2 linked regions of the Arabidopsis thaliana genome follow. The protein of the gene in region 1 purifies or fractionates together with the protein of each later gene. This does not show direct contact. Each region holds a gene or a part of one and is shown in the gene's direction. Other genes may lie near its edges.

Region 1 (7,356 bases):
AGCTAGTGGTTGTTGATTCCAGAATGCAACAGCATCCTATATAAAAAGGAAGGTCATGATACAGAGTATTACTCATGGTATTTATCACTTAATCAATTTAATGAATGAATCACTTGGGATATTACCATGTTGGCCTTGAGAAGAGTTGTATATATGGTTTCAAGTTCGGATCTGCGAGCATCAAATTCCTCAATTTTCTTCCACTTCTTTTTCAAGGAATCTTCGGCTTCTTTTCTTTCTGCACATAATTTATTCAGCCGTTGTATTTCAGATAACAATGTGTTTAAGCTAGCCCTCAAACCAGCAGCTTCTCTTTCCTTTCCCCATACATCCAACTGCAAAGATAAAATCGGATCGTTTGTTCAAGCAAGTAAATCAGCATATATATTAAACATAAAATGAACTTTAATGATAACTGAGAATCAGTCATGCAGTGCCTGCTACATAACAAGTATAAGAGTGTTTGGATTGTAAGATTTGTACAGGAACATGATTTTGTCTTTTTAGATTCAAGTGAAGGGAAAAAAACTAAAGAAACCAAGGGAGTCTGGCATCTACCTCAAATTGCCTAAGATTGCTACCACTCTGTGTTGTGCCTCCAACAAACGAATGAGTAGCTGTATCAGCACTTCCATGCAAACGGTTAATAAACTTGTGGCATAAATCACGAGCTTCAGCTGCTTTGTTTAGTGCATCTTCAGTAGCCAAAAATTGTTGAACATGGGCTTTCTGGAAAAAGTAGCACAGGTGAAAGTTAAGATAAACAGACTTTAAACATATAGCCATACAGTGCAACATATACAAATACAGCACTAGAAGACCAAAACATATCTTTCTGAATTAAACATTTGCCTGAAGCTTAACCCTCCTTTCTCCATATCTTCAAATTAACAAGAAGAAACCAGCAAAACTAGACATAGAAAGCAACCTGCCGTTCAAGGAGCTGGTTGTTAGATCCTTGGAAATGAGTATCTGTGCCTATCTTCCCGTTTCCATTAAACTGATAACTCAAAGGGGAGCTCACATCAGAAGAAGAATTGTCTGTTACACGGTTGTTCTCAAACTTATACCTGCAAATAGATTGACATCCAATTGCTTATGTTAGTCCAAAGCAACCCTGGAACAAGAACTTAAGAAAGCAGAGACGAAAACTGAAAACTTATAAGAGACAGAGATACAATTATCATTGATCAGACATATCTTAAAGGGAGTCCAGGAACTTCAGCATAAGTACTAATTTGCTATATGAGTTTCATAATCTTCCACTTGTGTGTCAAGAAAATTAGCAAAAATAGCATGCAAGGTGCATTTGGGTGAACCATACCCTGCAGAATCAGGAGTGCACAATAACAAAGAGTGGCATAAGAAGGAAAGTCAGGACACACCTTAACATTTCAGCATCTGCTCTGACATCAATCTTCTCCATCTCTCTGGATATCAGAGTCTTAATGCGTAAAGTGTATGCAGCAATAGCCTGAAGCAGCAGAGGAGGACCCCTCAGGGAATTTACTATAACAGTTTTCATCTCATCAGTTATTTCTCCATCATACTCAAAACCCAGCTTGGCAGTTTCCAGCTCTGGAAGTGAACAAATTCCATTTCCTTCGTATGCAGGGAAGGAGTTACGTATTCTTTCAATCATGCGTGATGCAAGCAAATCACATACTATCCTGATATTTCGTTCTCGGGTTGTTTCCATGAGAATGACATCATCTGCAGACTTAGTTCCTTTGACAGTGGAATAAACAGCTTCCCTCTCACTGTTAGCACTGAGGCTGCTTAACACTTCATTCGATGAATTGACAGACCGTTGTGCATCATTTGCTTGATTAACATAGACTTGTAGCCTTTTGTGATACTCTGCAAATATTCTTGTTGCTTCATCACATTGTTGATCATACGCTTCCAACAATGCTTGCTTGTGTCTGAAAAAAGGAAAAATAAAACTCACTAAACAATTTGAAAGATCTACTGAACATAACTACAACAAATATTTTGATTTGTTGTATGAACAGAATCAATGCATTTCAACATAGATAAATGCTGTTGATTGAGGTTCATGAAGAGGGCAAAAAGACAATCAATATCGCCATACAAAAGTGAGAATCTTAAGAATGGGCGATGTGGCATATCCATGAAACCAGAGAAACAAAATAGCCTGACTAAATCCCATATATTCCATTCTAGGGTATATTAAAATCATTGGAGAATCAACAAAACGAAAGAAGAATACTTCAGGGCTATATATCTATGGCTCCTGAAATCATAGAGAAACGAAATCGAAATACCACCAAAACTCTAAGCAGCTAACCATACTACACATAGCAACCATACTTGTAATGGTTCTGTTGAGGACTTAACACTAACGATAATAAAGCATAACAACAACAAGAGAAAATATTAAATGAACCTGAGCTGAGTGGTGCAGGTTATTTCTATTGTATTATTTTACAAGTGAGAAGCAATGTATCCAAATACAGTATTCAAAATTGAAAGATTCAAAACAAACCTGTAATTTGCTCTTTCATCAAGCATCCTCTTCCGCTCTGCTTCTTCTCTAGAGACCTCCAACATTCTAGCTTTCAAATCTTTTCTTTGCCTCCTCACTATGTTCCTCAATCTCTCCACTTCCTTTGCAGCTAATTCCCTTTCCTGCAATGCAGCTTCTCTATCCTCCGCATAACTCGAACTCTCACCAGTCACTGTCTTATCCTTCCGCCTTCCTTTACTCTTACTCTCCTCCTTCCCAGGATTTACCGAACTCCCAATGCTAGCATTACTACTTCCCCCATGAACCGTAATATTCCGCCTAATTCTCTCCACTGTCTTCTCCGATTTCACTCGGTTTATCAAAAAATTCCATATAGGTATCATATTCCCTCTACAAATCTTCCTTATAGCATCAATAGAAGGAACATGAGATTTGCTCGATCCATTATACGGACCTAATTGCCTGTACCCCATTTCCTTCTGTAACCATTCTAATATCGCCTCCGGTGTCGGAGCCGAGCTCGATAAACTCTGCATTCTCTCTACAACTACAATACCTAACTCAATCCCTCAAATCTTCATGAAACTTCCGAAATTTCTACTCATACTTTGCGCCTTTTCTTCAAATCCAAACAATCAACGTAGAGAAATACCTAGGTTACTCAAATCGAGCGAAAACAGGAGTTCATAGACGCTATAAACCTAATACAATTCGCGAAATGCAGCAACAATCGAGCGAATTGGTACTCTGATGAACACAGAGACAGAAGGAAGACGTAGACAAACAGATCTGGAATCCCGACGACTAACTCGCCGGTTCCGGTGACGGTAGATGGAAGATTGTGACGGAGAGATGGATCTGGATAAAGAGATTTCAAATCGAGGTCCCGCTTGTTTATTGGATTTTCAATTAAAGGAATCAAACTCGAATTTTTCTGCAAGTGTCGTCGACTGTTGAAAGTTGAAACTGGGTAATAACCGCGTCGGACTCGGGTATGAGATGTATCCGGGTCGGACTAAGGTATTTAAGTCTAACCGGGTCGAATTGGGTAATAAGAAAACACTATGGGTCAAAATTAGAATAGTTTAAAATTACAACCAGAACATTTAGGGTCAAAGTTGAATTTATATAACACTAAAGGGATGGATTCCGAATTGTTTTAATTTTCTCAATCTAAAACCCAGAGGTTCCTTCCTAGGGTTTTGTTTGATACTCTCAAATCGGAAAATTTTGAAACAATGACGACGGGGCTAGTAACGCCGGGAGATGTAATCGGGAAAGCGACAGAGTTTAAAGCTGGAAAAGGAGCTTACGTCAACGACGCCACCATCTACGCTTCCCTCACAGGAACTTGCCGGATTGTTTCTCCTCTTCCCGAATCAATTGATCAGGTTTCGTCTTTGTTCCAAGTGATTAATTCTTCTGGCACATCTATTCGTAATCGAAATCGAAATCGTTGGATTGTTATACTTGTTTTTGTGATTGTTATGGATATATAACTTATTGGATGATAAAAATGGTAAGCAGAGAGCTATTGTGGAAGTTACAGGTCACAAGGCACATGGTCCTATTCCAGAGACTGGTTCTGTTGTCATAGCAAGAGTGAGTCCTGCACTTATTTCATTGGATTCATTGATGTTCATACTTGGAAAAAAAGAGAGTAATTTCATCACTCACTATTCTCTGTTATTCGTGATAGGTGACTAAAGTTATGACTAAGATGGCTGCTGTTGATATCTTGTGTGTTGGTTCAAAAGCCGTTCGTGAAAATTTTGCTGGTGTAATTAGGTGAATTTCTCATCCTCCTTTGGTGTTTATTTTCAAGGTTTGTTCTTTTATGTGTCGATCTAACTTGTGTTTGCTCTTTCATAGGCAACAAGATGTTAGAGCAACAGAGATTGACAAAGTTGACATGCATCAGTCTTTCCATGCTGGTGACATTGTTAGAGCTATGGTTGTATCCTTGCGCTTATGTTTCACACTTATTGTCTAGTAGTACAGTGGTTAACATTGTTTATTAGAGGAGAGACAATTCTAAGATTTGTTACATTATGCCATTTATTTTCTCTTTTTACTTACATATCTCTTTGTATAGTTTAATTTGAATGTAGCGTAGGTGTAGTCTATAATAATAGATGATGTTTTGGGTGATAATATCTGAAGTTGCCTTAACTTGGACTCTTAAAGCTGTCTCTTGGTGATGCACGGGCTTACTACTTGTCAACTGCTAAGAATGAACTTGGTGTGGTCTCAGCTGAAAGTGCTGCGGGTAATTTTTTTCCTACTCTTAGAAACTAAATAAAGGGTAATGAGGGCAAAGATTACTAATTATATAGCTAATCTATCACATATCAAATTGTAATACATTTCTAACTTGTAGTTCTCATTATGGAATTATGAGTAACAAATATTTTCGTCCTGGACTTGGAGTATGTTAATGTGTAGATGCATTTGCTTCTTTGGGCAGTTTATAATACTATACGAAGTTAATTTCCGTTTGAGTAATCGAAATGTTTATGTGGTCTGGTGATTGTGCAGGCGAAACAATGGTTCCGATAAGTTGGACAGAGATGCAGTGCCCCTTGTCGGGCCAAACCGAGCAGAGAAAAGTTGCCAAGGTGGGTAATTGAATTCAAGACAACACTTGGCTTCTCTCACATAATGAGGTGTGGTCTCTGCAGCAAGACAGACATTTGAGATTATTACAATTTTGAGCTCTTCTGTTGTTTGTTATCAAGTGTAGAGATAACTTTAGACCAACTTGACCTTTATTCGACAATAGTCAGGATACTATTATTATTAGGATACTTACAACTTCTTAAACTCGAAAGACATTTTGTTGTTAGAATTTGAACATAAATCCATAACTCCAACAATGTGGAAATGCTAGGCTTAGCTCGGAACAACTTAAAAATTCATTCGATTGTCGCAATTTCTTGGTGAGTTGGTAGTATAAAAACTTAGCAGAAAATCAAGAAACAAACTTCCTAAGAGATGTAAATCTGTATGCCCTTGGTGCTGCCGAGAAAAGAAATGGTTTTTGTATACAAAAATGTATGGGTCACAATTAGAATAAGTTTAAGCTTTATAATCGAAACGTTTGGGGTCATAACTAAATATATGTAAAATTAAAGGGACTATTTACGAAACTTTCTGTTTTTCCCTGGTTAAATTTCGACCAAAAAGGCTTATGGATCAAAAGGTAGAAGAAGACAAAGACGAGAGAGAAAGGATCGCTATTATTCAGGAAACTTCATTTTGCACTTTTTCGACGAACCTGAAAAATCTTCAATTTTAGAATTAGTCAATACCGGAAAATTCCTGGGTTTTCTCTTGCTTCTGGATTTTCTCAGGTCTCTATCACAAAGGTACTCATCGATTCCTCTGTTTTTTGTTTTCCTTTGAAAGTTTCTTTGATGATCATTGGATTTTGATACCATTCATTACTGATCATCTGATGTTGATCGATGAGCTTATGATGGTTTTTGGGTTTCATCGGATTGATGCTTTTTATCTGAAAGGTTGATGCTTTTGCTCGTACATTAAACAATGAATCCTTAAAAAAACTGTTTTTTTTTGCTCGAATTGTATAGTTTTGTGATGTGTATTAGCTTATTCAAGTTTAGTTATTCATTTGGTTTTAGAAATGTTATATGTTTCTCTTACAGGTGATTCTACTGTGTAGGAGGAACAAGAGTTTTGCACCAAGAAGAGAGAGGAAGGATTCTGGTTTACGGGAGCTAGTGAAAATCTTCTGTGAAATTGGCTTTCCTCTCTCATTCTCTGTGAAATTTGAAAGTATTGATTTCGAAGATATGGGTGCTTTCTGTTGTTGCTTTCAAGTTGATCTCTTTGAGAGTTATGTGAATCCAAACACTTCCATAACTAGGAACTGTCCTTGCCTTAATTGCTTCCTCCAGAGTTTCATGGATTTGGTAATGTTCTTCTTCACTTTCGTCTTCGAATCTTTTGTTTCTTTGTAGTTAAAACTTTATGTTCGATTTTTTTTGGGCAGTATGCTTCGTTGTTTAGTAGAGGGGGAATGCATCCAATACCTTCAACTGTAGAGACAGCTACAGTGATGAATTCAACAACTGCACTTGATGACTCTCTGTCTAGTGTATATCATTCTCCTCCAACACCATTGCCTTACGATGCTGATCCTAGGTACTTTCGTTTTGTTAAGGGCTCTAGTCATTCAGGTGAAGAATCAGAACCGTTAAGAGGTGATACTGAAATGAGTTCTGAAGCTTTGGGTGATGGTGGAGCCAAGTGGAGTAAGTCTGATTCTGAAGATGGTTCGAAAGAAGTGTATACGAAAGGTTCATCAACCTTTACAAAGTCGAAAACAATGCCGGGGATAGAAGTTTATTATGCAGATTCGGATGATGAAGATATTTGTCCAACCTGCCTTGATGGTAATACTAAAAAATTAGTTTGATGCTATTGTTATTATTCTCTTTGAACCTATTATATGCAGTTTTGTTGGTAAAGAGTGTGTTAGGTTGTTAGTAGATCTTTATAAGTTGCTTTCTTGGTTTCATTTCTTCATTTAGTGCACTCCTGAGTCCTGAGCCATTAGGCCATTAATAGTATAGTTTACGTAGATGAGGCAATCGTTGCGAGTGCATTAAGGTAATATTGGTTTCATAGTTCTTTGTTTTAACAATATGCAGATTACACTTTGGAGAATCCGAAGATAATCACCAAGTGTTCTCACCATTTCCACCTTAGCTGTATTTATGAATGGATGGAGAGAAGTGAAACTTGCCCCGTCTGTGGAAAGGTAACTCGTCGCTTTCTACAAAACTTTAAAACCCGGATTTGGTCGAATGTTCCATCAATCTCCTTCATCGATATTAAAA
Region 2 (5,478 bases), on another chromosome or scaffold:
AAAATAGCTAAAAGTTCACAAAATTTATTGTGAACATGTTCGAAATTTTTTTGATTCTAAGGAAGCTTCTTTGTGTTTATACACTCAAAACTTTTGATTTTTTTTTTCTTTCTTCCTGATTAAAAGACAAAACGCAAAGAGAACAAAAAAAAAACTTGTTATTTGTTAACTAGATTTAGGATCATTTTGGAACAAAAAAAATTAGAAAGCAAAGGTTTATTTATTGGTTACCTGAAAGACAAACAAGGGTTGATCATCTTTGGGCAAACTCTGAAGCTGACTTGTAACCAATTGAGCAAAAGCTGGATTTGGATAAACCAAATCTCCAAGTTCCTCCAACGTGTAGTCACTCGCCGCCGTCACAAAGCCAGCTCCAGCACCGTTACAGTCAACATCAAGCCGTCCAGAGCTAGGATCCACGCGGAGTCTCCCGGCCAAGAACTCATAAGCGTCCATGAGTTTCACCAACGCCTTTCTCAGCTTCTCCGAGACCATCTCCGGTGGAAACTCCTTGTTAGGTCGGAAGAAATGAACTGTTTGAACGTCAAAGTTGAGAATTTGGTCGACGTTGGATAAGAACATGGATTTTCTCTCGCTGGTTTCTTCAGATGGGAAAATGAGTGTTGATTCTTTGATCGTAACCTTAAGATCTTCAAGAAGCAACGGTGGAGATTCTTGGTACGAAGAACCCATTTTGCAACCCTTCTCTCTCTCTCTTTCTCTCTAAGTTAATTAGGTTTTGAGTGAAGTTTGTGATTTGGGTTTCAGACTTAATCTATATTATATAGACTAACACGTAGTAAAAGGCGTTTTTAATTTTATCTTGGCTTTATGATAATGTACGTGTACATTATAGTATGAAATAATCCATGGAGAGTAAATTATTGATCCCATAATAAATGTGACTTTTTAATAAAAAAAGATATGGTACGGATCGTTACAAGAACAAACAAAGCAGTTTCGTGCTACGTAGACGTCGTTTTTATCCAGTCACATGAAAACGTTATTCTTTAAAAGCTAAAATTGTCACTGTTGTATTATTGTGTTGTGTTTATAGATTTGGGAAGAATGATGGGCTGCATTGGTGGGTGTGAGTAGGGTTGGTGATTTATGTTTTTTAAAATTTGATAGGAGAACTTTGATATGTCGGTGTAGCTACATAATATGCATGTGATATATCAACCTTTTTGTTGTGATATTTGCCAAACTTTGACTTCTCCATTTGTGGTTTATGGAATAATACGATTTTTACCCATTTGCAGTATCTCATTACGGTTACAAACTTACAATCTACAATTAGTCTAGTTTCTAACCTTTTTCTTGCCATATTAAAAGGCATGAACTCAAAATATGGCCGAATCCAAGCCCGGCCCGTTCATAAAAAAGCCGAAACATTTGTTTTAGGCCACCTAATATAAAAAGTTTTTAGGGCCTCATGTGTAAAATTTGTCCTACAATATAATTTGTCTAGTGTTATATTTATTTTTATATATGTCCAAATGTTTATATTATTATCAACTTGTTATTTAATTTTAAATATATCAATTATAAGATTTAAAACTTTTTCACAGTTTAAAATTTTATATTTTTGATAAAATTAAATTGTTTAACTAAAAATTAAATTAATCTATAGACAAACTTTTAAATTTGAATCCGATTTAGATTTATTTTAATTTTATTTATCATATAAATTTAAATAATTGTTTAAACATTTTAGCCGATGTAACGTTTTTTTATTAATTATTAATGTATGTCTATTTTCTTATATTTCGAATTATCGAATTAAATATTCTCCACTCTAATTATAAGATAAGTTGAATAAACTTTGTTTTGTTTTTAGTCTCGACTTTTTTTTCTTTACATTTCTTCAAAAAGTATAATAATTTTTAAAAACATTATTAAAAAAAAAATATTTCTAAAACGCAGAGAAAAAATTGAGGCAAATCTGTCAGTATAAACTTGTAATTTCATCGTCTCCGTCTTCTTCTTCGTTTATCAGTTCTTCGTCGCCTTTCGCTTATGAAAAATTCACACTGGTAAAGCTTCTTCCTTTACCAAACCCATTTCTCTTCTCTAGCTCCTTCTGGGTTCTCTTTTCGAAGAACCCTAGTAATCGCGAGAACCTTCTTCCCCCTTTCTCTTCGCAAAATCAGAAATCATAATCACAATCTCTTCGTTTTTTTTTGCAGTTTGCAGGGCTAATTTCTGCGTTATCGTACTTCTAATTTGTTGAGATAAACATGGCGAGGAACGCAATCTCTGACGATGAAGGTACCTTAATCGCTTCGTCGCAAACCCTAATTTTTTTCTGTGTGAAACGCCGTAATAATACTAGGGTTTTGTTTATTTCTTCTGATTTGTATGAAAAAATTGAATCCTTTTCTCTTTTGCGTAGAGGATCATGAGCTTGAGGATGACGACGGAGAGCCAGTTCATGGAGATCCAGCTGAGCATGATGAAAACGATGATGAAGAAGATGATGATGACGGTATAAGTTTTTTCCTTGATTTTGACTTCTCCCAGTGAGAAATGTGTCGTCTTTCGTTTCTTTTTGCTTACCACCCTAAATCTGGAAGCTGTAGAGTCTGATTGCATCGAAGGAAATTAGTGGTATGGTTTGGTTTAGTACTGAAGCGCATGCAGTTCTTTGTCTTAAAATCGATTCATTTGGAGAAATTCTGCTGCATTTGCTCCATTAGAAGATGCAGTGTCTGGATTTGGCAACCAAAAAAAAAAAAAAAGTGAATGCATCTTGTTTCTTAGATGTTTACTTATCTGCTGCAAAGTCTCTCCTTCTACCACTTCTTGTTTCTATATTCTCTGTTTCATACGGTTGCTTGATTTGTTCCTTTTTAGACTTCATGGTTTCTGCAAGTTTTGAGCTGCACACATTTCTCTCACCTTGGGTTTGAGTATTTTTTTTTCTTTTTCTTTCTAGGCTTTTTAACTTAGATTCAGGCTATTTTTGTTCCATGATGTGGGATCCGTATATCTGTTTTGTAGTTGGGAATGAGTATGAGAATGATGGGTTCATAGTGAATGATGAAGACGAAGAGGAAGAAGAGGAAGAAGACGAAGAAAGGAAAGATAGCGATGAGGAGAGGCAGAAAAAGAAGAAGAAACGAAAGAAAAAGTGAATATTTTATATCCTTACTCATTCTCTTAGATTTTATCCTTTTCTAACATATGAAAAACTAAATGTTAGTGTTGACATGCATGATACTTTTGAAGAAATGTTCCCTTAATTCTCAGCAGTCTTTATTTGTGATTTTCATACATTGTTTGTGATGAGTATGTAAGTTACCATTAGACGAACTATAGCAGGTCTGTTCTCTTTCTGACTAACCTTCCATTTATGATAATTTTAATAGGGACGAAGGTCTTGATGAAGATGATTATTTGCTTCTACAAGATAACAACGTCAAATTCAAAAAGGTTAGTCATATTTGTGTATATAACAATACATCAGGATTTTGTAGATACACTAAAAATATATGTGCAGTACTAATACATTTGACTTTTTTCTTGAACCATGACAGAGGCAGTATAAGCGGTTGAAGAAAGCTCAAAGGGAACAGGGAAATGGCCAGGGAGAATCATCCGATGATGAGTTTGATAGTAGAGGTGGAACTAGGAGAAGTGCTGAGGATAAGATCAAAGACAGGCTGTTTGATGATGTTGATGTTGATGGTAGGTTCTCTGTGCCTTCTGATACTATTATGTTGACTGTTGGCACATAGTTGACTATGTACATTTTGTGTCTACTAGATCCACCTGATGATGTAGGTGATGAGGAAGACTTAGTTGTGGAAGAAGATGTAGTTGGGAGCGAGGATGAAATGGCAGATTTTATTGTAGATGAAGATGATGAGCATGGTCCTCCTAAGAGGTATTTTTTTTCTGTCTTTTTTGTGCCCTAACATATCACTTATGTCATGTACATTTTCTGATTCTAATCAACTTACTTTTCAGGGGCAACTCGAAGAAAAAGAAATATAGGCAGGGATCAGATATTACTGCTATGCGAGATGCTAATGAAATATTTGGTGATGTTGACGAATTATTAACAATTCGCAAAAAGGGTTTGGCATCTAATCAAAGGATGGAAAGAAGGCTCGAAGATGAGTTTGAACCAACTGTTCTTTCTGAGAAATATATGACAGGGAATGATGATGAAATCCGCCAGCTTGATATTCCTGAGAGAATGCAGGTGCATTATCTTCTTTAGTTTTCTCTATGTATACTTGTGGTCTATGTTTTCTTTGGTGTTCAAGGATAGATGTAAAGATATCTTGTAAACTTTGACAGATATCTGAAGAAAGCACCGGAAGCCCTCCTGTAGATGAAATTAGCATTGAAGAAGAAAGCAATTGGATATATGCTCAACTTGCTTCCCAACTTAGAGAATCTGATGGAACTTTTGATGGGCGGGGTTTCTCGGTTAATAAGGATGACATCGCAAAATTTTTGGAGCTACATCATGTGCAGAAATTAGAGGTTTTGGATTCATTCTCTCGTTGGATTTTCTTTGATTCATTGATTAGCTTGCTAATGTTTTCTGTCTCTTCTAGATACCGTTTATAGCTATGTACCGAAAGGAGCAATGCCGGAGCTTGTTGGACACTGGTGATTTTGATGGCGCCAATCAAGGCAAGAAACCTGAGACCAAGTGGCATAAGGTAAGCAATTATCTTGGATAAACAACAAGTGCTCAGGTTAACATTTATTGTCAGAGGAAATTTGGTGGATTCTATACTATTTTCCAATGCAGGTCTTCTGGATGATTCATGACTTGGATAAGAAGTGGCTCCTTCTTCGAAAAAGGAAAATGGCGTTGCATGGTTACTATACAAAACGTTACGAAGAAGAGTCTAGGAGGGTCTATGATGAAACAAGACTTAATCTAAATCAGTATCTTTTTGAATCAGTCATTAAGTCTCTTAAAGTTGCAGAAACAGAAAGAGAAGTTGATGATGTAGATTCCAAGTTCAACTTGCATTTTCCTCCCGGTGAAATTGGTGTTGATGAAGGGCAGTATAAGAGGCCGAAAAGGAAATCACAATATAGCATCTGCAGTAAAGCAGGGCTCTGGGAGGTTGCAAACAAATTTGGGTATAGTGCTGAGCAACTGGGACTTGCATTGTCCCTAGAAAAACTGGTCGGTATGCTTTTATATTGTTTGATTTGCATGTTGTACTGGAATGGCAGTTCTGACGCTAAATGAGTTGCAGGTTGATGAGCTTGAGGATGCAAAGGAAACACCAGAGGAGATGGCTAAAAACTTTGTGTGCGCAATGTTTGAAAATTCTCTGGCAGTTCTGAAAGGTGCACGGCATATGGTATATACTCTGCAATAATACTATTTTTTGAATTGCTTAGCTGGGTTTAATATCAGAAGGACTTCCCTAATCACTAATGCGGAGATATCCCATTTTTCCTTGTTAGGCTGCAGTTGAGATAAGTTGCGAGCCATCAGTC

Evidence for each region. Proteins that work in one complex are often made in the same cells at the same time.
Region 2: the proteins of AT5G38890 (region 1) and GTB1 fractionate together in Arabidopsis thaliana (co-fractionation; one large-scale study listed by BioGRID). This does not show direct contact.

What each region holds. Positions count from the first base shown.
Region 1 is NC_003076.8:15,565,778-15,573,133, forward strand, and holds AT5G38890 (Nucleic acid-binding, OB-fold-like protein), read left to right. Parts: upstream 1-3,640; 5' UTR 3,641-3,729; coding exon 3,730-3,882; intron 3,883-4,018; coding exon 4,019-4,093; intron 4,094-4,190; coding exon 4,191-4,279; intron 4,280-4,363; coding exon 4,364-4,448; intron 4,449-4,678; coding exon 4,679-4,760; intron 4,761-5,029; coding exon 5,030-5,121; 3' UTR 5,122-5,392; downstream 5,393-7,356. Other genes in the region: AUG5 (HAUS augmin-like complex subunit), read right to left, coding at 1-36, 126-335, 559-729, 929-1,070, 1,386-1,925, 2,510-3,027; AT5G38895 (RING/U-box superfamily protein), read left to right, coding at 5,498-5,527, 5,678-5,859, 6,177-6,426, 6,507-6,909, 7,168-7,277.
Region 2 is NC_003070.9:24,311,090-24,316,567, reverse strand, and holds the start of GTB1 (global transcription factor group B1), read left to right. Parts: upstream 1-1,928; 5' UTR 1,929-2,036; exon of another isoform or gene 2,037-2,109; intron 2,110-2,189; 5' UTR 2,190-2,240; coding exon 2,241-2,271; intron 2,272-2,395; coding exon 2,396-2,488; intron 2,489-2,699; coding exon of another isoform or gene 2,700-2,741; intron 2,742-3,003; coding exon 3,004-3,133; intron 3,134-3,371; coding exon 3,372-3,435; intron 3,436-3,539; coding exon 3,540-3,690; intron 3,691-3,768; coding exon 3,769-3,889; intron 3,890-3,972; coding exon 3,973-4,210; intron 4,211-4,308; coding exon 4,309-4,497; intron 4,498-4,571; coding exon 4,572-4,679; intron 4,680-4,771; coding exon 4,772-5,158; intron 5,159-5,231; coding exon 5,232-5,339; intron 5,340-5,445; coding exon 5,446-5,478. Other genes in the region: GLC (HXXXD-type acyl-transferase family protein), read right to left, coding at 232-693. UniProt on the Arabidopsis thaliana protein: Transcription elongation factor that enhances the transcription elongation by RNA polymerase II (RNAPII).